Linked DNA regions of Drosophila melanogaster. The protein of the gene in region 2 purifies or fractionates together with the protein of the main gene of each other region. This does not show direct contact. Each region holds a gene or a part of one and is shown on either strand. Other genes may lie near its edges. The genes, in order: Brf, Sgf11 and Atxn7.

Region 1 (7,918 bases), on a different chromosome or scaffold from region 2:
CGCTTAGGTACCTTTATTGTGATGAAATCAAACTGGAACCTGAACACATTCTGGCCACGCTCTATGCAGCCAAGAAGTACATTGTCCCGCACTTAGCCAGAGCATGCGTCAACTATCTGGAGGTGAAGTTGACGGCAAAAAACGCCTGCCTACTTCTCAGTCAATCGCGTCTGTTCGAGGAGCCCGAGCTGATGCAACGTTGCTGGGAAGTGATCGACGCCCAGGCCGAGATGGCGGTTAAGTCCGAGGACTTTGTGGATATTGATCTCAAGACCTTTGAGTCAATTCTTTCGCGAGAGACACTCAACTGCAAGGAGATACACTTGTTCGAGGCGGCCCTTAACTGGGCAATGAACGCCTGCGAGAAGATGAGCATCGATGACACGCCGCAGAACAAGCGCCGGCTGCTGGGACAAGCGCTGCACCTCATCCGCATTCCCACAATGTCGCTGGAGGAGTTCGCTAACGGCGTGGCCCAGACAGGCATTCTTTCGTCGCAGGAGACGATCGACATGTTCCTGCACTTCACTGCCAAGATGAAGCCCTCCCTGGGCTTTCCCACACGCTCCAGGGCGGGATTAAAGACCCAGGTCTGCCATCGCTTCCAGTCGTGCGCCTATCGCTCGAACCAGTGGCGCTACCGCGGGCGCTGTGATTCAATTCAGTTTTCTGTTGATCGAAGGTAAGTTCTATCTAACAAATGGTTATTGGATTAAGGTAATTAAAACTGAAAATTTCAGAATTTTCATTGTGGGTTTTGGACTGTACGGCTCGTCGACTGGTGCTGCCAACTACAACGTAAAGATCGAACTTAAACGCCTGGGCCGCACGCTTGCAGAGAACGACACCAAGTTCTTCTCGGACGGATCAAGCAACACGTTCCACGTCTTCTTCGAGAATCCCATCCAGATCGAGCCCGAGTGTTATTATACCGCCTCCGTAATTCTCGATGGAAACGAGCTTAGCTTCTTTGGCCAGGAGGGCATGTCCGAGGTGCTAATGGGCAATGTGACATTCCAGTTCCAGTGCTCGTCGGAGAGCACCAACGGCACCGGAGTTCAGGGCGGCCAAATCCCAGAGTTAATCTTCTACGGACCCACCACAGTGACAGCAATGAGCTCGCCCACCAATTCACTGTGTCCCACGCCAATTGGTGGCAGTTCCTCCAATGCAGGAGCGACTTCAACCGCAGCAGCCGGAACAGCTGTTCCGAATAGCAGCAATGGATCTGGCAATAACGCCAACAGTTCTGGGGAGGATGGCGACGGAAGCACCTGATGCGCACAGCTCTATTGCGCCGAGTGGCAGGGAGCCTGTTACTACCGCCAACAGCAGCAGCAACAGAGGAGACCAACACAACAATACAAAACACAGCAACCGCAAAAGATACAGATACAAAATCGAAACTCATGGGTTTTCAGTGCAGCACAAGAAAGTAAATTGGAGTTTTAGGCTCATATATATATATATATATATATATATATACCAAGATAGTAGAGTACTCTAGTTTTCATAATAGTCCTATATATAAACATATATATACACGTCAAAGCATAGACACATATATATACACCTCGGCAGTGCGTTTTAAAACTCCAAGACGATTGTCAGTACGTGATCATCTCAAAAAAAAAAGTCAGCCGATGCAAGTCAATCGATATAGGAAATTTGCTATAATTGGAAAGTTTCCTTCGATATCCCAAGTATGTTAAGCAAGTGAAATCAATGGTTTTGCAGTTCTAAAACGCACTGCACATAGTCTGTTGGTAATGCATATAAAGATATTTTCAAAATCGAAAAAGTTGATCATATACACTCTTAACTTTATAGATAAAGATTAGTAGTTGACTCGAAAACTTAATACGTTCCACGACTTAAGAGGGCGGGATGGGGTCATATGGACGCTAATAGAGACGCATAGATACATGCAATAAGTGAAAATCGGGCAATCAGTCAAGCTAGCGTTAACCAATATTCTAAAGACAGTTAAAGGGAGAGTGGACAAAAGCTAATACGATATATACCAAACATATTTTTGCCAGCATATACCTAACATATACACACATCTGATCTGATAATGATAAACTATAGTCCTAAACACTTCGAGGGAGAATAGGCCATGTTAATAGTTGCATACGACGAATTTGAAACCCAAGTTAACCAGTTAACGAAATAGCAAACAAAAATGAAATCAAGGGATCTTGTACGAGATGCGCACAAAATCCCCCCTACATATATATTCAAATATTAATCTTGTAGTACGCATTATATCTATTTCGTAGTTGTTCCATTATATCTCTCATACATACACAATATGCCTTTCTACTGATACTAAGCCCCGTACTTCTCCTGTGCATTATTATAGCCTGCTGAGCGCAACAATCAGTTTTACGTTTGTATTTCGGATTTCTTTGGAAATTGTACTGATTTTTTGCTTTTGATAAGACAATTATGGTTTTTATATACATATATCTATATAAAATGTTATCCTGTATTGATTATGAATCTATTACCATTATGTACTTTAATCAAACAAAATACATTATTAGATTTTTGCGAATTTACTTTCTCAGAGTTGAAGATTTTGGATATTTTGACATCACGTAAGTAGTGCATAAAGAAAACAGGAACGAGTAGAGTATTGTTAAATACCTGATAAAAGGAAAGCAAGCAAATCTAACAAACCCAACAAAATATTTTTAAAAAAACAAAAATTAAGAGTGGAGCTATGGCTTGACTTGACTGTGGATTGGGATTTAGGTGTATAGTTTAGTATTCACAACGTTCACTCACCCAGAGAAGGTATGTTGATACAAAGGGCATGCGATAACTTTAAGTAGGTACGACCAAGCTCATAGGAACAGATTTGCTGTACGTCGCTGATGTCGATGAGGAGATCTGTGAAGATATGAGCAGTCAATAAGCTACTCTTTAGGCAAAATGAATGCACTACTCACGGGAGGTGCCCTCTGTCCTGCAGGTCATGTACACGCAAGCGGCGTAGATGTGGGTGCTCTTCCTACCGCGGGTCAGATGCCTACCCAATGCCATCTTGAAGAAATTCAGAGCAGTATCTGCATAGTGCTGGGATAGCTGCAGCTGCTGGCAGAGTAGTGTGATGTCCTTCTTGGCCTTTTTGATGGTCACCTCGCGGGATTCGGTGCCCGATCCCACCTGAAACTTGCCGTAGCCATAGTTGGTGGCACCGCCCGACGACTCGGCGGACACAAACTGGCCAATTGCGGCTGCTCCATGGCCAACTTCCTCGAACTGCACTTCGGAAACAATGAGGGAATCCTCCAATACCGAGCCGCAGTTCATGCAAACTACAGTGAATGGGTGAACGTCGTTAGTGTCATGGATATGGGTCCTTGGATGTCATTATACCTCGATCTCCGCGAGCATTGTCTTCCTCGATCTCGTTGGATCCGCAATTGCGACATTTTAGGCCCGTAGACATGATTGTTTGTTCTTTGCTTTAATAAACACTGCCACCTGCAACGCTTCGTTTTTATCCGTTGTTTTGACAGTTTAAACTACTTGTTTGCTGTCATTTGAAAGCCATTTTCGAGTCTTTTTTAAACAATTTGCAATTTGTTGCCAATTGAATCAACACGCTTGGAAAACATCTGATTGAACCCCGCCGGCGTTGCTTAACACTGATGATAGAAGAAGAAATGCTAGAGATGCGCATTTCTCAATCAAGAACGACATTGGCACAACTGCTTGAAAAACTTAAAAGAGATATTAAAATTGTAAAAATTACGTAAAGCTGGTTCCAAAAATTATGTTCTAGTTTATTTGGCAAATTATCAATCAATATTTGTTTTTCATTTACATTGGAATATATAATAATACAGGTTTAGCATCGTGTTCTTAGGTGCACATCTCTAGTAGAAATAGTGTTAAAGTGCCGGTAAGGTGACTAAGTATTTTGTTGACATATTGAACAAGTTGGACCAAAAGGAGTATACAGTCATCTTGGACTTAACTTATAAATATTAAGTAAATATTTTAATACATATTTATTTTAAATTTACATATTTATATTTACCGTGTGTTCTTGCTTTTGTAACAGTGTCAAGCTTTGACGTCATATTTAAAGAAAGTCACCCCACTTTGTTCCACCCTGAGCAGCGGAATAAACAACAAGTCAAGTCAGCGTTCAATTTTCGAAAGTCAACTTGAATTAAAAAAAAAGAAAAGCCGGTCAAAATATATCAGTCATGGGCGATGCTGATCGTGCGATGAACGAACCAGAAGCCGCGAAAACTGTGTCCGGAATCCAGGTGATTCCCGCCGAGGATGTGGCTTCCATTGAGGATATAATCACAATCGATCCGGACTGCTACGAGCTTGATCTGAATCATCGCCGGATCGAGAAGCTGGAGAACTTCGAGCCGCTGACTCGAATCGAGCGCCTGTTTCTGCGCTGGAATCTGATCAAGAAAATCGAGAACTTGTCCAGCCTGAAAACACTGATTGAGCTGGAGCTGTATGACAACCAGATCACCAAGATTGAGAATTTGGACGACTTGCCCCACCTGGAGGTGCTGGACATTAGCTTCAATCGTCTGACGAAGATAGAGAACCTTGACAAGCTGGTCAAGCTGGAGAAGGTCTACTTTGTGTCGAACCGGATAACCCAAATCGAGAACCTGGACATGCTCACCAATCTGACCATGCTAGAGCTGGGGGATAACAAACTGAAGAAGATCGAAAACATCGAAATGCTCGTGAATCTACGACAGCTCTTCCTGGGCAAAAATAAGATAGCAAAGATCGAGAACTTGGACACATTGGTCAATTTGGAGATACTCAGTCTACAGGCCAATCGCATTGTAAAAATCGAGAACCTTGAAAAGCTTGCCAACCTCCGCGAACTCTACGTTTCGGAAAACGGAGTGGAAACCATTGAAAACCTCTCGGAGAACACCAAATTGGAGACCCTCGACTTGGCCAAGAACCGGTTGAAGGGCATTGCCAATCTGGAAAAGCTGGAACTGCTCGAGGAGCTGTGGCTGAACCACAACGGAGTCGATGACTGGAAGGACATTGAGCTGTTGAAGGTGAACAAGGCGCTGCAGACCATCTACCTGGAGTACAATCCGCTGGCCAAGGATGTTCGCTACCGCTCCAAACTGCGCGACATACTGCCGCAGCTGCAGAAGATTGATGCCACCCTGTGCAAGGTGCCCGGTACCTAGATGGAACCACTGTAAACCCCTTGAAAGACTAATCCACGGCGTTGCGCCACTACATTTATATCGATTAACTTTGAAAAACTGCGTTTAAAATATACATACAAATTAACCACTAATGGTTCTATCTACGAATTGGTGGGTGCAGTGATTTAGTTTGCTTTCAGAAGAAGGTATATTTGGATAAGTTACTCAAAGCGTGAAGTTTACCTAATGAGTCAGATAAATTATCCATCTAGGCTACCGCCTAACATATAAAACTAAAAAGTATTTTATATATACACATAAATAATGTAAATTGAATCTAAAAAGATGAAAACATTTTAGTTAAACAATTCTGGTTTCTCTTAAACCAAAACAATACATTTCAGTATGTCAGAGTACATTCAACGGAATGTATTTTTATTTATATCAAAGTTATTGTTCTATCGATTGAAATCACAGAGCTCAACTGATAAGTGGCTTTCATAAAGGCCTTTGTCTTCATTCTTTCCCTTTGTGGCAGACATGTTGTGCAAATATGCTTATCATTTCATTTTTTGACAAAGTATATGAGGCGTCAGTTGGATTGCTTTTGGAGGAGTTCATCAATTCGAAACAGCGTAATAGTCAGAGGCGCTCACTTTATGAGGACCTCCATAGAAGTCCAGAACAAAGATATTGCTAATTTCCAGTTCGCAAAGGTAGAAATTGTGAGCTGTAAAAGAAACAACGTATTTATTATTAGTACATACATATCGAGCTCTTAATGAGGTTCGCTTTCACCAACCTTTTACCCAATTGATGGCAGCTGGATGACGCCTCACATAGGCATCCAGCGATGGCTGATAGCTTTTGTCGCTAGGATCCATCTTCAAATGAGCCAAAACATTCTTAATCCATTTTAAATAGGATTTAATTCATTTTTCATACCTTCTTCACCTGTCCACTGATCATGGAACGGGCACATGTAGGCTCCATGGGATCCTTTCCGCCCTCCTTGCATCTTAGGGTCTGCTCGTCACTGAACAGGAGTGTGACCTTGTTGTCCTTCTGCCAGTCGGGACCAGTGAAGTCCAAATCGGTTAGCAGGAATCGAATACGTCCAGTGGACCTGTTATTAGCATCGCTGTCGTCGATGGAGATAATGTTGACCATGGGATACCCCTTCACCCGTTCGTTGGTGGAGAGACTTCCCACAGCCGCCCAATTGGCGCGATGGACCAAATCTCTGGCGATCTTGGCGTGATTTAACTCTTGCTCTCGCTTATATTCTCTAATTATACGCTCATCTTTCCGGCGGGAGTAACCGGAAGAGGGGTCCAGGCTCACGAGGGCCAAAATCAGGGCGAATAGTAGGGAGTGAAAGGTTTTCATGGCTAGACTGCAAGTATAACGATGCGGTTCTGAAAGATCACTGAACACTGGACAGCTGACGGGTCAGCATTTATGGACAGGGAATTCGCAATGACTGGCTTATCTTCCGGTCATCGTAATCGCGTATAATCCGCACTTTTAGTACTCTCTCTGATTCACGATGTAGGCCGTAAACAAAGCGGACTACGGATAGCGTTGACCTTTTACGCCTCTTTCATTTTCTCTGTGCGCCGCATTCTGCCAGTAATGCCCATATATATATGTATTTATGCCTACCTGGAGGATCTGGACTAATGGCCCCTGTCGGTACTTCTGCTTTGCGATTTGTTTGTCAACTGACTGGGCTACTATTGCGCCTTTATTATCACCTGCTTCGAGTACAAAGAACCACAACCAGCTGTTTTCAGCAGGTACCTCGGATGCGGTGGGGTGTATGTGACGCATATGTTCGTGCATTTTTCTCAGTTCTTCTCAGTCTCTCAAAAATCCATTAGTGTCTTTTATTACAAGATGATTTTAAATGCGCCCCATTAACTGGTTATTTTGAGCACTTAGTCAGTAATGTATGCAGAAAGCAGCGATAAATTGTAAATAAAAACGAATATCTAATTAATTAAAGTTTGGACTTTAGGAATAAGAATAATGTGTGTGGTAAATTTTAACTTTCAAAGAAAACAGCTGCCGTAAAATTAAATCACCATTGAGATTAAATAGTTTGATGTAAAGGAAAATAAAATTTAAGAATTATTTTAACAAATTCCTTTTGGGTAAATTGGCAAGCCGAGTAAAAACGTAACACCAAACTAGTTAGCCATTCGTAGTCCGAGGGTACCAACCGAGCGATCATCCAATAACGGTGGCATACAGCATTGCCAGCTTGAATAAAGTAGACTGCTATAAAACTAGGCTCGTATAAGCAGATCTTGAGCAGAGATTGGTGTAGTTTAACATTTTGTTTTCTTTTATTTTGCAAATATGTAGGTATGCTTAAATATGATTTTTGTTTTTAGGAGTATCATTATGCTTGACTTAATCATCTTTACCATATAACTTGTACATTTCACTTTCATTTAACTTGACCTCAATTAACATTTATTGTTTCTATTTGCGATTGGCTCGAAATTTCGCCAAACTCTGGTTCTGAATATCCACCGTGTGTGTTGTGTTTTCATTATTCTAGTGTGCGATTATTAGTTTAACATTTATTTGTATTTCTGTTACATTTACGTTTTTTATTTTTGTATATTTTGTATATACTCATTTTTCTCATATTATTAGACAATTTGTGTTGTAATTTAATTACGTTTGCCAGATTAGTTTACCCTGCCGCATACAGTTTGTTTGAAAAATATATGTACATA
Region 2 (7,379 bases):
TGACAGTTTATAGTTATAATCAGCTACAAATTAGCAAATGAACTTGCTAATTTATCCGATTTTGTTTTTCTTTTTAGATGAAGAGGGCGTAAAAGTGGTGGCCTTTAATGTAAATCGCAATCGGAATTTCACATCCTTCATAAACGAGGGACAGTACAATGTGAGATTGACTGAACCCCAGAACGGCAGGTGGACGACCAACTTCAGTTCGGTTCCCTTGAGATCCCAAGATGTTCTATACCTTTGGACAAGTGTGCAGCACCAAAAGGCTGTGTATCAAGATCTGGCGCAGCCCCTGCCAGTCTGCAATCTCGGCGGAGAGTATCGGCCCAGGGGATGTTCGCCCGGTGATGATGACTTTACGGATGACAACCAGCTAAGTACTGAGGACAGTGCTTTGGAACCCACCGCTCCCTCCGTCTGTGAACCTTCTGAAAGCCAGGTTTCGCCGCAAATCGGTGTTTCCATATGTAAGGGACAACTTTTGTTTGAGGAGACTTTTGATCAGCTGAATGAATCTCTGTGGATACATGATGTTCGCCTGCCCCTCGACTCCAAGGATGCAGAGTTCGTCTTGTACGACGGGAAGGCCAAAGTTCACGATGGCAACCTGGTGATTGAGCCGCTTCTTTGGTCCAGCTATCGCCCGGATCTCTCCATAGCCAACTCCAGGCTCGATCTATCGGAGCGTTGTACTGGAACCCATAACAGAATTAAGGAATGCATCCTGCATTCCACGGGCAGTGGACCCAGTGGGATAATGCCCCCAATTGTAACACCTCGAATCAGCACCAAGGAAACCTTTGCCTTTCAATACGGACGCATTGAGATCCGTGCCAAGCTACCAAAGGGAGATTGGATAGTAAGTGAGATTATGCAACTACAACGTCTTAGCTTTGAAATTAATATTTCCCACTCTTCATAAGGTACCACTCCTACTACTCGAACCCCTCACCGAATGGTACGGGCAATCGGGCTACGAATCCGGCCAGCTGCGAGTGGCCTTGGCCAGGGGTAACTCCGTGCTGAGGATGCCGCGCGGAAAGCTTGTAGATGGTAGATCCCTATACGGAGGACCCGTACTCTCCACGGATGCCCACCAAAGGGAGGACTTATGGCTGAGCAAGCGAAAGATATCCCATTTCGGCGATGACTTTCACACCTACAGCTTGGATTGGAGCAGCAATAGGCTGCTCTTCTCCGTAGATGGTCAGGTCTATGGAGAGATGCTGAATGGTTTCACTGAACTGGACGAGAATCCCAGGTGGAAGCAGGGCGGTCCCATGGCCCCGTTCGATAAAATGGTAAGCCTAGTGATCTAAATTTAACAAGTTTAATTCAAATTTATCTCCCATTTCAGTTTTACATTTCGTTGGGCGTCTCTGTGGGCGGATTTGGTGACTTTGTGGACCATCTTCGCACCGCCACTTATGAGAAGCCTTGGGCCAACTATCATCCCCAGGCGAAGCTGCAGTTCCACCAGGCCCAAGACCAGTGGCTACCCACATGGAAACAGCCGGCCTTGAAGATCGATTATGTTCGTGTCTTCGCCAACTGATAACTAAAATCCATGATTTAGGTAGATGTTTATAAAATTACACATAAGTGAACGTGCCGATCGAAATCTATAAATCTATAAATAAATAAAGTCCTAAGAGAAACTCAGTGAAATCAAATGCTTCAGTATGGTTGCTTATCTGACAGAATGGAGATGAGTCTGGGCATTAATACTAAGCCAGTTGGTCGGCTTTGATTCCTTTCAGGCTCTTCAGCTTTTGGTGAATGTCACTGAAAACGATACATGGATCTGGGCATCGCTTCCAGGTAAGATGGCCACACATTTTGCTGCCTACAATCTATTAATAAGTAAAATAGAAGATCATCGTATTAGGTCGGTGCTCTTTTACACTGAGTTCGAAGGGGACAAGTGTCCCTTCTATGACTATAGGCTATACGGGAATACCTGGGCAGTGGTACCCTCAAAATATCCGCCGTCGTAGAGACCCATCAAAACGAAACTGTGATCAAAAGCTTCAGGATCAGATCCTTGGGAGAAAGCAGTGCTTTGGTAGAGCCTCTGCGGAAATTCCTACCATCATCCGAGAAAAGTAGAGATTGTAAGAAGCTACGTAGCTCTACGAAATACTGCCTGCCCGCGATTTCCCTCACTAGAGACAAACCCATCAGCTGCAAGCTGCAGCGGTAGGCTATTGTCACCGAGTCCTTTGGAGATAGTGAAAATCCTTTGAAAAATTGGAAGCACGTGGTGCAATCACAGGAAGGGAGTGGCCCTTGTGAATTGAAAAGCCAATTCGTATGTAACTAAATCTAACTATGGGTCGAAAAACCCCTTCTATTTGGAGAACTGCGCTTATTCGAAAAGCGATTCCAATCAAAGATGTGGCGAGAAGAAGTACAGATTGCCGTTTCGAAAATGTATGCCTCCCTTTGATTCGGCAAAATTACTCTCATTGGATACCTTTAGGTACTGTCGGATAGACATAGAAACCAAGATGGCCATTGGAGACTGTTTGTTCCCAGGTGATTTCGAACTTAATGATTAGTAACAAGGATAATCGAATGCAATCCTTCATTTAGGACTCACACTGTCTTCAGTTAATCACGATGCCATTCGAATTGCCATTGTCCAACGAGCTCGGTGGAATTGGAGGAGTTCGCCAGTAGGGATGATCACTATGGGAATGACTTTTATACTTACACGTCTATTGGGACGGAGGAGAGCATAACCTTTAAGATAGATGGTCGCACCTTTGCTCAAATAACGAACTCAACGATCGTCCAAGAACTCAGTCAGACAGAAGTTGGTTTACTTAATAATACTAATTTTTTTGCACTAAAATTCCAACTCCTCAGCGCCACATTGAATTGTTCCTAACTGTCGGCGGAGAGTACAATTTTCCGGATAACAGCATTCCGCCAGAGCAAAAGAGCTATCGCAATTTCGAAACGGGTCTATCATCGAAAATTATAAAGGCCGTAACCAATGCACCCATTTGGGATCAAGCTGTGTTGGTCATACAACAATTTAATGTTTATTCAATCGATGAATACGAGGAATGAATATGACTCGCGTGATCTCATTAAGCTACAACACTTAATTAAATATTTGGTCTAATGAAACTGTGAACTATGAAAAAAGTGAATCTATGATTTCATTGAATAAAATACTATATCTGACCTAATTATTGGAAACCAATGTGATCATATCTATCATATTTTTACAAGAGAACAGCTAAAGATTGAGAGCTTATATGCTAGGGAATGCAGTAACCCACATGTTAACACAATGATTGCAAGACTGGATTCTCTGGTAGCCGCCATGCGGAAAGGCTGTGTTTTTCTAATTTTGTTAGGTTGTCTTGTTTCTTTGATGATTGCCTTGGAGGGGCCGCATCCAGTGGTAAATGTGAAGGGCAGGGAGGTATTCATAGTGTTACCCGGGGATCTGGAAGAGATTGAGTCCATATACTTTCAAGCCGAGTTGGTTGACAAAGGGTGCGATAACGAAGCATATTGGTGCAAAGATTGAGTTACAAAGTAACATTGAGCCCAATGCCAAAATAAGAATTCAAACTGTGGTGGAGAGAAATAATAAGATTGCAACTCAGTTTTTCGAGATTAAAATCAACGATAATGGAATTGGCGAATTATTTGATGGGCCTAGATTAACCTGAGTTCTTCAGAAACGTTATCAGAATGTTCCCATTGAATTGGGTACGCGAGGTTAGGTATCGTAATACTGGCGGGAAAAACCAGGAGTTTTTTGCCTTTGTGGACGATCCTGTCAACTCGATTATAACCAACAACAATTTGCACATATCAATTACCAGAGATGAGCGAAATATGACTCTTCTGGGCTGCACCAGCAAATAGCCAAACGAAAAGAGTGTGACAGGGGGTCAAGATCGAAACGGGAGCCTTGGGTCTCCAAGACCTTTAGATCCGCCAACATGCACACGAACTTTACCTTTAAATATGGGCGAGTTGAGATTAGAGCTAAAATGCCCAAAGGCGATTGGTTGTTTCCAAGTGAGTGGATATTTAGTTTTTATAGCTGGTAATCACTACATGGTTTTGATTACTTTAGACATTCTTCTGGTGCCCCGTATGGATAAGGCGGATGACGATTTTTTCGATCATATTCGCTTGTACGCCAGGGGAAATTTACTATGGGGACGGATTTCACGACTATTATCTGGCAGACTGACAAAATTATCTTTAAGTTCGATGGCGAGTTCTTCGGAGCAGTAAACAATCCGACACTTCTTGAACCATTTCGAAAACATGAGGTAAGACGCCTTCCTCTAAAAGATGTAATATCTCTATGATCTTTCGTTTTTAGTGCCATCTAGTCCTTGGCCTAACCGCCGGCGGCAATGTTAATTTCAATGACGACATTCTAGAAATGAAACACAAGCCCTTTTTAAACACCCACCCCAAAACTGACAAACAATTCGAGGAGTTGTCTAGAAATTCGGACTGGACACCCCTAGTGGTCGACCATATCCGGGTGTTTGCCATTGATAAGGAAGGAAAATAACCAAAATATATACTCTTTAAGTTGTAAAATATAAAACTAAGGCTTGCTTTCATATTATTACATTGAATTACTTCATTTAGCACCAGGAAAGTCTATGTTTAAAAGCGCCTATTTGCTGAAAAGTTATATTACCCTTGTCCTATGATATCTAGATATTAATTGATTAGATATTGCCACTAACTGCTGTCCTATTCAAATGATCTCAAAGAAGAGTAGGGGTCGATCACCAAAATCCCATTAGTTTAGAATACATTGGTGACTGATTTAAAGGTGTACTTTTATGGCAGAATAAACTACGAAAATGATTGTTAGCTCTGACTAAAAGGTTTTGCCATTGTTCTTCTTGGAGCCGTTGTTCCTTGAGTTCTGGTTTGATTTCTTTCGACGCTTGTCGGACGACCAGTCCACGTCATCCTCATCATCAGTGCCTCCGGTATTTCCCGAAGAGTGCAGGTGGGCGGATGTGGCGCCCTCTTTGGTGGCCAAGCGACGAGAGGCAATTCGCGACGAGATACGACCCATGCCCATGCACTTTTCCAGGTGCGGGGCGAAGCGGGCGGCGGCCACCAGGCGATCACAGTTGGGGCAGGTGCAGTCCATTGGCTTTTTGGCCGTTGAGATGCCGAATATGTCCAGGTTGGGCATCTCGCACATTCGATAGGTTGAGTCCTCCGGCACTCCGTCCAGGGCGGCCAGATTCCCTGACTTTCGCAGATGATGTGTCTCGTTAAAGATTCCGACTACGGCGTCGTCGAGCAGCGACTGGTACAGATAGTTGGCCGCCTCGTCGAGGTTCTTCGGTTCCTTGATCAACTCCCGGAAGTGGTTTACAATCGTAGTGCTAGTTGTGGGAACTTGGTTTCCCGATCCCTGAGCTCCTGTTGTCGTCGGCATGTTGGCTGCAGACATAATAGTTGGCGCAAACACTATATCTATTTGCTTCTGGCTGTCTTCCTGTCTGCTCTGGAAGATTTGTTTGGCATGCCGGTTGTTGTTGTGGAACTACATAAGTTACTAATTGTGGGTTTGCTTAACACGGCTGTTTGCAAAATGAGAGAGTTGCCAGGCTGGTGCAAATAGGGGTAAATAGTTTTAAGGAACTAGATATTCAATTTAAATAGTTGCATCTAAAAGTAACAGCTTTAACCGTTATAGCAAATTATAAAATTTATATTATTAACCAATTTAAATAGTTTATATTTTCATTAACTTATAATTTTAAATGCATCAGGTTTTGTCATTTCATAAAACGAGTATGTAAAGTAATTATTATGACCAGTTAAATCTTAAATTAAAGACAATTATGTCAAGCAGTTTTTATGCACTTTTGCTAAATTTAGTTCAATAAGTGAACTAGTCCTTTTTTGAATAAATATGACGTGGCAACGCCTGTACCGACAGACGGAGCAAGAAGAAAATCGCCCATCTGGCCACACTGAGCCATGGCGTAAATAAAAACATTTCTAAATATTGAACTATAACCAATATCTGTATAAAATGTTGCTAAATAAGAAAGAACTCATGTACAAACAGCTGGTGGAAAAACTGTATGACAGGTGCCAAAGGATTCAGGCGGAAAATGAGCGATGTGTGATGAGGTAACCGTCATTTTTATGCTCCACGAAACGTAAACAAAAATGTGCAGTACCTTTTATCCAGAGTAAATGGGATCAAAAAGATAGTAAGAAGGCGCAATCATGACGTGGAGCTTCTAAAACGGCGACTAGATAAGCACGGAGACGACTGGCGATCCGTTCCCATGGAGGCTCCACATCCCAAAGGGAAAACCGAGCAGAAGCGTCGAGGACCGAAGCCCAAAAACAAGCAGGCGGCGGATGAAACAGGAGCACCCGGGTCTGAGCCTGGACCCAATACTCCAGCTGCCCGGAAACCCCGAAAGCAAAAAGCCAAACAGGCACCCATCAATCCCAATCCAGTCATTGCACCACCGCATCAACAACCTCAACCTCCACTGTTGACCTGAGTCATAGCGATTGCTTGGCGTGTTCTAGTTTTAAGATAAAGGGCTTGTATACTTTTAAATATAATATTAAGACAAATAAAAGCTAAGACCAGAAATGAATTATAGTAACCAAAGCAATGAAAGTTGTGATTGCTGCAGAACCATTTCTATTTCCAAATTATGCTATATCTTTCCAAGTAAACAAGTTACAAAAATTGGCAGGTCTTCAAATAACTATAACAACAAAGCCTTTAAAACATGATTATCGTATATTGCATTAGAAAAGCATGTAAATCATAATCCGTTTGAAGCCTATACAAACAGCACACTTACACTTAAAGATTCATGGCAATTCTTCTGATTATGGTAGACAAAGCAGCATCGATAGACTTCCAATCACTGAGTTTATACTTATTTATATTTTGAATGTACTTAATTGCTAAAACAGAAATTCAACGGGCAGGGCGTCGCTATTTTTATTCAGCCTGGCGGAGACGTGCCAGTCGCTGGGTGAGCTCGTCTTGCTCTTGGGACACTGCTGTCGAGGCTCCAACGGATTGGCTCTGAACTCCGCTGGGCAGCTCCATGTTGAGTTCGAGGCCAGCCTCGTCGGCCACTTGCTGGAGCAGATTGTCGACATCTCCCTGAGGCACCGAGGTGGTTACCGTGTCGGACATGGTGCCCTCCATTACCGAGCTCTGGACGTCCAGGTCTTCGAACTGCGATTCAAACTTCTCCATCAGGGAGGAAATCTTCTCCAGGTTCATACCCTTCATAGCTGCATCCATGGCCTTGACCACGCCGGCCATGGAGCCGGTGACCTTGCGGGTGGTGAGTGCGGACTGAACCCTACTG
Region 3 (7,918 bases), on a different chromosome or scaffold from region 2:
TGTTCATGTTGCTGATGTTCATGTTGCTGCTGCTGTCGGACAAGGTGCGCAGCAGCTGCTTTTTGAGGAGCTGCTGTGGCGAGTGGCTCTGACTTTGGCTGGCGTTGTGGTTGCTCTGGAGCGGCAGGGTGAAGCTGGGGCGGCCGAGGGGCTGCAGCTGCTCCAGCTTGCCGGCCAACAGTCGGCGGCGTTTCTCGTAGAAACTGAAGGTCAGCTTGTTGTCCTCCTCCTTGTCGCGTTCCTTGTCCTTCGTCGGCTGCTCGCCGCCATCCTCGCTATCCGGTGGTGGCTTCTCCTCCTTCTTCGCCTTTCCCATTAGCAGTTCATTCAAACGCTTGGCTGTCATGACTCCCGGCGATCCGCTTGATCCACCACCAGCTTTTCCTCCTACCAGCGCCCTCTTATTGCACCTCAGGCGATCTTGTGCAATGACATTCGATCGCTGAGCGTAAATGGTTCTGCCCGAGGCGGGATTCTTACCCGGCAGACCGTTGCTTAACGCTGGCGAGGGCGGCGGCGGTGTGCGGGCCAGCTGACCGACCACGCCCAGGTGATTACCTCCCGACAGGGATAGCAAATTGTTGTTCGCCTTCCGCGTGGTCAACAGATTCTTGCGGAAGGTGACGCCCAGGCCCTGGGGCAACTTCACCATGCCAAACGTGTTCATGGCCAAGGGACGAGGCGCTCCGGAGTACAGCATCACGTTAAAGTAGCTGTCCTCGTGGTATTTGGCATTGGCCAGCGATGGATGGTGATTGATTTGAGGATTTGTTGTGGGTGGCTGGCTGGCGGCCTTGGCCTCCAGCTTAACAGTCTTTACGGTGTCGCTAACAGTCTCCAGTTTACTGAACTCAAAGTCGGCCAGTTCATCCGCCAGTTGGTTTGCCTCCGTTCCAGAACTCAAGTTGGTTTGTATGCCGCCCGATTGCACGACATTCACGTCCACATTTTCGTAGCCCGCGTTGGTTAGGAATTCGGCTAAGACCTTCTGCTCCAGCATGGAAACGGGATTCGACTCGGTGATCTCGTATATAATACTGGGCAGGATCATGTGCTCCTCCAGCTGCTGTTGCTGTGGATTGACCATTGCCTCATCCGTCAGAGACGGCACGTTGTAGACGCTGAACTGGCGCTGCTGCTCGTGATCCTGAAGCTTCTGATCCTGCTGCTGCTGTTGCTGCTGCTCTTGCAGTTGCTGCTGCTCGAGCATCTGCTGCTGCTGGTAAATCAGTTGCTGCAACTGCATGGCATCGATGGTGGTCAGCTCCTGCTGATGCTCTTCCTCGCCATAAACCTGCTGAACCGCCTGCTGCTGGTACACGGCGTAATCCTCGCCAATGGTTCCGTCCTCAAAGCGCAGCCTTTTAGTGGCCTGTGCGGGATGCGATAGCGATCCATTCTGCGCTTGCTGTTGTGACTGCTGTTGCGATGTGTCCAGAGCGCTCTCATCGAAGTTATTCAGAATCTCGTTGATCAGCTTGCTGTCCAGCATTTCGTCGAGCGTCTGCGAAATGGAGTTCTCGTCGGAGGTGTTGGGCAAGGGCAGTTCCTCCTCATCGGGCGCCACCTGCTCGGCGGAAACCGCTCCCGTGATGGAAGACACTGCCTGGTCCAGTTCGCTGAGCACTTGCTGCTGCTCGTAGGAATTCACCAGAGACTTATCTTTGTTCTTCTCCTTTTCCGCTTTTATTCGATGATCGCTGGAGCCCTTCAACTGAAGAGGATTTCGGTAATTGTATCATTGAGTTATTATAGTCACAATTATATGAAATACCTTTTTCTTTGGCTGCAGCTCGGGCAGCTTTTCCGCATCCGTCTGAAGCTGGGCAGGTGAATAGTTGACCCCCATCGCCACCTCGCTGGAGGCCGCTCCCAACGTGGGAGTGGGCGGTAAGCTGCAGGATGAGTTGCTGGAGGAGGAGAACATGGTTATGGCAGCCGGAGCAGCACCCACAGATGGTGGCTCCTCCTTAACAACAGCAGCGACGACGGGAGGAGCGGCTATGGCCGAACTCTTCTTCGATCCCTTTGACTCCTTGTGATTGGACTCCAGCAGGGCCGGAGCTGGCGAGGAGTGGTGGCGGTTCTTTGACGACTTCGAACGCGACCTACTTCCGGCGGAAGTGCTGCTGCTGCCCTTAGACGAGGAGGAACTGCTACTTTTACTGCTGCTGCTCTTGTGACGCGACGAAGACGAAGACGACGTGGTGCTGGATGAACCCGCAGCAGCCGGATGCTGCAGTGAAGCCGAGCTGCTGGACCCGTTCGAGCAACTGGAGAGCGTCGAGGCCGAAAGCGTATCCGTGGGCGAACTTGGCACGATAGCCCCGCCCTCCTGACTGATTTCCGTGGCAGTGAGACGAGAGTCGCTGGATATGGCTGTCCCATTTGGATTGGGATTCACTTTGCTGGATGTGGCCTCCCAGACGCTAGGATGCTGCAGCGCAATGTGGTGCTGGAAACCTGCCTTCGTGTAACATCCCGAGCAGGAACTACAGAGTACTATATCGCGACTGGCCAGCTTCGGCGCCAGATCGTAGTAGGCCATGTCCGCCGATTGCAGACGCTGGACCTGCACCTTCGCCTGTTGATCTGCGCCGGCGGAGGAGTTCTTTCCACCACGCAGATACGTCTTCTCAGCCGTTCGCAGTTGCTTGATGACCTTTTCCATGTCGAAGACCTGCTGCCACTTTTGGCCCTGCAGGCTAAACAGGGATAGTCCCGCCGATCCCGAGCCGGAATTGGAGCCGGCCGACGAGTCCGGCTTCCACATTCCCGACACCTTGTGCTTGGTTCCATTTTCCGGATAAGCTCCACCACCGGCGGGGGCCACATCGTTCAGGGGCATTCCGGATAGAAGCTGTGCTCGCGGGATCCGGGGATTCGGTACACTCGAGCAAAATTGCCCCTTAAAGCACCTGCAAAACAGGATTGATTTATTAGTTCCAGAGAAACTTTGATAGTGACAGCTTTTAACTGATACTGCAATTCATCGCTGATAAAAAACACAAAATCTGGGGCTATGCACCATGAACCCCGGACCACGGAATCCCTACGAAATGCCCATGTTAAAATCATCACTAGTTTTCATACAATAAATTCGTATATTCTATTACATATACATATGTACGTGGTTTGAATCACCACCAGGCGTGTTTAACCCTAAAACTCAAATTTAATCTTATAAGTATATCTCAAGAAGATTACAACTTTATTAGATTTAGATTTAAGGTAAATTAAAACAAGAATAATCATTTAGAATTAATTATTTATTTTTTCTTTATTTTTTTATATTATAATTAAAATTTTTTGGTGCACGTTAGGATTAACATAAACAGAACCATCGTTATAATTAAATGAATAGATATCAGCAGAACCCACTTATACATATACAACATATCCATTGACCACAGGACCCTGACCCTGAATACATACATACATACATATATAGATTTTATTAGCAACGGAAAAGTATTGGACACTGCACAAACCACTTGTGGAGGGTGTGAAGACTGTACGTCTTGGAGTATTTCTATGCGTATATTGCCATTTTTGAATGAATCTCGAAATTTAACAAACTGTTGTTTTTGATATCGTAAATTTTCAGCGAAAGCTTACAGGTGAGTGCTGCCCCCGCCCCCGCGAGCGCCAACCCCTCGGTACCCGCACCCCTTGGTCTGGATCAGCTGTTTTTGACAACCGCTACTCGAGTGGCGCCGTCTCGCTCGCACTGCCGCACACATGCGCAGCCACTCACACCGACGCACAGCACACTCACGCACTTACCCACACCAATGCAACACAAACAAAGCACACGATTGAAAATCACAAAATAAAAATCACTTAAAATGCTCGCAGGCAATTTTAGTCGAATGCCGAATGATATCGGCATTAAATGACACTTACGTCGTTAACACACTTCCATGTTTTGTTGTTTTTTTTGTGGGTTTAGGTTACCGTTCTACCCTACCCGTGGATAAATCGGATTTTTGGCCGGCCTCCGTGGAGGAAAATGCCAGGTCAACTCGAAAAAGACGAGTTGGTTGTATAGCCTAATTGATTCTGTAACGAAATCAATTAAAGCTTTCTAGTTTGTCTCGCTTTTTCGAGTTTAAAGATTGATATTATGAATATCGTTGTATTTGCTTAGGGATGGCAATTCGCGTCTCGTTACGTTACGTTGTATTTGTTGCAGCTGCAGATTAAGTGCGATATGTTATCGATAGTCGCACAGGTATTCGTTGCATACGTAGCCGATATATTAATTACATGCATTTCCGCTGAAAAGTCAGTTGAATATATTTATGAATTAAAATCTTTTTAAAGGCGATAGAAAACTATACTTAACATTTCCTATTTTTACAAGCGTTTATTTGCTGGCACAAACTATAACCATAATTAAACGTAACATTAGTCATCTTCATCACTAAGCTCATCCTCCTCCTTTCTTCTGGACTTTTGCTCCAGTTCCTTGGCGTAGAGATCCTTGAAGGCTTCGTATTCCGGCAGGGTGACGTGGCAAATCTTTGTGGCGAAACTCTTCTCGGAAGTGTCTGTAATCTGATAGAGTTTGGGGTTCGTAGTCGGCTCATTTGGATCGGCTTTCGGAGGTCGTGGCTTAAAGAGGCCCAAACGAAGCAGGAACTGGTGGCGACAACGCAGCTCCTCGAATGACAAGGTAAGGGCTGCCGATTTAACCAACTCCGGCACTTCTATGCGCATCACGTCTGTGATGAAGTTCAGTTTCTCCTCAATAGATACCTCGGATTGTGCTATCAAATCCGGACTGTTCATCAAACACTTCCACACATTTTTGCTGGTGGAGACGCGACTTTGAAGGAAGCCGATGTGGGAAAGTAACTGGTGGGAGTCGCTAACGTCCAGTAACTCGGGGTACTTCGTAAGGAGCAGGTGCAGTAGATTCTCGCCGAATTGACAGGCCCTCCAGATTTCCAGGCAGCTTATTATTTTGTCCGGCGTTCTTTTCAAAATCGCGGGGTTACCGGTAACTATTCTAAGGAAATTCACGGTTTCCAAGCCGTGGTTTTGAAAAGTTTGATGGGCCCTTCGCCAGATTTCAGGTGAGAATACAGCTAACGTGGGTTCTATTTTGATGGCTTCATCGATGTGAATTTGTTCAAGCTGCAATATCTTGGGCGTTGCCAAGTGCCTTATGTGATGTAACTGGAAAGTAACAATTTGTATCTAATTTCTATCTAATGCATTCATGATTAACTCACGTTTGACTGTTGTTTTAATACAGCTTGTGTGTTAAATAATAGTTTCCGCAACATTTTTGGCGATGTCCTCTTAAATCGGCGAGCAAAACAATGAACAGCTGATCTCTTCTTCTTTGCAATGACAGTTACCGAGAAGCGTGAACAACGGCATGTTTAGCTGGTACACCCACCATATTCGTCTATAGCTTAATTGTCTATTAAATCGCACGCATCGAACTGTTATTCTCGTCGGGTGCACAGCAAATTGTTTATAAATAGAACTGTCGCGCATAAAAAACAACAGTGGAAAGTTTTATCGTTTAGTTCTGCTACAAGCTCAGCGTAAGTTTTTTTTCTTTATTTTGTACATATGTGTGTATACATGTGTGTGAGAGTTCAACTATAGCATAATTATAATCAAACTCTGAAAGAGATATAGCTTAATGTTATAAACTAAGTACTACCCGGCTTATTTAACCAAAGAATTCAAATTATTTGTCGCCATTTGGAACCGTACAAGTAAATACATACATATGTATGTAGAAAACGACATGTAAACTGATCGATACACTGATAAAAATTTATATTCAAGTGAAAAAGCTTAAATCAAATTTATAAATGGATGTGAAATGTATTTTTATATTTCTTTTAAATATACATAAATCCATACACAAAAACCCAACTAATAAATTGTTGATATTGAAAAGGAAATCATCCAGAAATTAATCAAGAGAATTAAAATGTTATTTTTGTAATAATCTTAAAAGCTCTGTGTATCAGAGCGAACGTGACAAGTGTTTTTACTTAATGAGGAAACTATTGGCCAGGAGAGGAGGGCTCGTTCGATCAGTGATAACTTTGAATTCCCGTACAGGTGGCATCCAGAATAACTCAAGTAATGCTCAAACAAGGTCAAACTCAATAACATTGTGAAATAGCACAACTACTTCTGGTCGATTTTCATTCAAACAATTGGAATGGGATAAACTGCCGGTGGGGAGTGAGATAAAGCGTTCAATTCTCTCGCATTATTTCTGATAAGGAGGGCTCTCTGTGGATTCCACCCATATTTAACTAACAATCCACTCGGCTTGCCACTCATTCGCAGCCCGCTCCACAATCCAGCAACATGTCGAAACTCATCCGTTGGGGAATCGCTTCCGCCGGCAAGATCAGCGAGGACTTTGTCATCGCCCTCAGCACCCTGCCCTCCAGCGACCACAAGGTCCAGGCTGTAGCCGCCCGAGCTCTTGATCGCGCCCAGGAGTTCGCCACCAAGCACGGCATTCCCAAGGCCCTCGGAAGCTACGAGGAGCTGGCCAAGAGCACCGATGTCGGTGAGTAGAACTTAAAGTTCATAAACAAACTGTTCAAAAAAATCTTTAAAAAATGTAATTATCCCCAGATGTGGTCTACATTGGCACCCTGAATCCCCAGCACTACGAGGTCGCCTTGCTGATGCTGAACAATGGCAAGCATGTTCTCTGCGAGAAGCCGTTGGCCATGAACAAGAAGCAGGTGGAGGGCATCCTGGCCGCTGCCAAGGCCAACAAGCGCTTCTTCATGGAGGCCGTGTGGTCGCGATTCTTCCCCTCGTACCAGCGCGTTAAGGAGCTCATCTCCAGCGGACAGCTGGGCCAAGTCAAGGATGTGGAGGTCAACTTTGGCTTCCCTATGCCTCATGTCGACCGCTTGCAGTGAGTACACAGATCGTTCATAGAATAACAATTACTAATAGATCACATCACTTAAAGGAAACGCGAACTGGGAGGCGGTGTGGTCTACGATCTGGGCATTTACACCATCCAGGTCTCGCAGTGGGCCTTCCAGGAGAAACCGGAGAAGATCGAGTCCAAGGGAACCCTGAACGCCGAGGGCATCGACGATGATGTTAGTGCCACCTTGACCTACAGTGGTGGGCGCACTGCTCGCATGCGCTTCTCCTCCAAGGAGAAGTTGGGAAACACCGCCGTTATCAAGGGCACCAAAGGACAAGTTACCGTACGTAATCTAATCGATCGTGATTGAAGAGTAGCTAATAGTCTAGTCTTATCTACCAGCTGATTGACTTCTGGTCGCCCAACAAGCTCATCGACATCGATGGCCAGGAGAAGGAGTGGCTGCCTCCCAAGGGCAAGTACGCGACCAACTACGCCAACTCCGAGGCCATGCGCTATGAGGCGGAGGCAGTGCGCCAGTCCATCATCGCCGGCGAAGTGGAGAACAAGAACGTCACCTACGCCGACAGTTTGATCTTCGCCGAGATCGAGGACACCATCCGCAAGCAGATCGGTGTGCTGAACAAGTACGATGAGCAGTAAATATAGATTATATAGATAAACGTGTAAACCTAACATAATAAACAGAACTTTTTACAAAAAATATATATTTCAAATAATTATTTTAAACGAAAGCAATACATTTTAAAGTCCTTAGCAAAAGTTGGACTTACTAAAAGTTGGACCCCCTGTTGTATTTTTTCAATGCCCCACTCTAGATCAAGGATTAGCAAACAGTGCGATAAGGGGAGCTATTGATTGTGGAACGGCAGCGATGACATTCCCACTAGGTCGAACTGGGGTGTTACTAAAGTGCCTGACTTGGCAGAATTCCCGATCACGTTTCTGCCGCATGATACCGTCTTTTAATTTAGGGGCTGGTAAAAAAAAGCGCAGGGATTCCTTATCTCAGGGTTCTCT

Evidence for each region.
Region 1: the proteins of Sgf11 (region 2) and Brf purify together in Drosophila melanogaster (affinity purification with western blotting; one study listed by BioGRID). This does not show direct contact.
Region 3: the proteins of Sgf11 (region 2) and Atxn7 purify together in Drosophila melanogaster (affinity purification with western blotting; one study listed by BioGRID). This does not show direct contact.

The regions. Positions count from the first base shown.
Region 1 is NT_033777.3:17,387,703-17,395,620, forward strand, and holds the start of Brf (Brf RNA polymerase III subunit), read right to left. Parts: upstream 3,636-7,918; 5' UTR 3,461-3,635; coding exon 3,388-3,460; intron 3,327-3,387; coding exon 2,958-3,326; intron 2,899-2,957; coding exon 2,794-2,898; intron 2,564-2,793; exon of another isoform or gene 1,453-2,563; coding exon of another isoform or gene 741-1,452; intron 683-740; coding exon of another isoform or gene 8-682; intron 1-7. Other genes in the region: lute, read left to right, coding at 8-682, 741-1,278; sds22, read left to right, coding at 4,227-5,207; CREG (cellular repressor of E1A-stimulated genes), read right to left, coding at 5,789-5,898, 5,971-6,052, 6,114-6,557.
Region 2 is NT_037436.4:18,676,219-18,683,597, forward strand, and holds Sgf11 (SAGA associated factor 11kDa), read right to left. Parts: upstream 5,619-7,379; 5' UTR 5,471-5,618; coding exon 4,880-5,470; 3' UTR 4,819-4,879; downstream 1-4,818. Other genes in the region: GNBP1 (Gram-negative bacteria binding protein 1), read left to right, coding at 78-862, 927-1,304, 1,361-1,558; CG32202 (uncharacterized protein), read left to right, coding at 6,059-6,159, 6,221-6,545; Chmp1 (charged multivesicular body protein 1), read right to left, coding at 7,001-7,379.
Region 3 is NT_033779.5:2,372,132-2,380,049, reverse strand, and holds the start of Atxn7 (ataxin 7), read right to left. Parts: upstream 4,210-7,918; 5' UTR 3,907-4,209; exon of another isoform or gene 3,787-3,906; intron 3,718-3,786; exon of another isoform or gene 3,378-3,717; intron 2,919-3,377; 5' UTR 2,849-2,918; coding exon 1,775-2,848; intron 1,715-1,774; coding exon 1-1,714. Other genes in the region: CG15390 (uncharacterized protein), read right to left, coding at 4,411-5,184, 5,241-5,294; CG3609 (uncharacterized protein), read left to right, coding at 6,349-6,556, 6,625-6,916, 6,974-7,220, 7,280-7,540.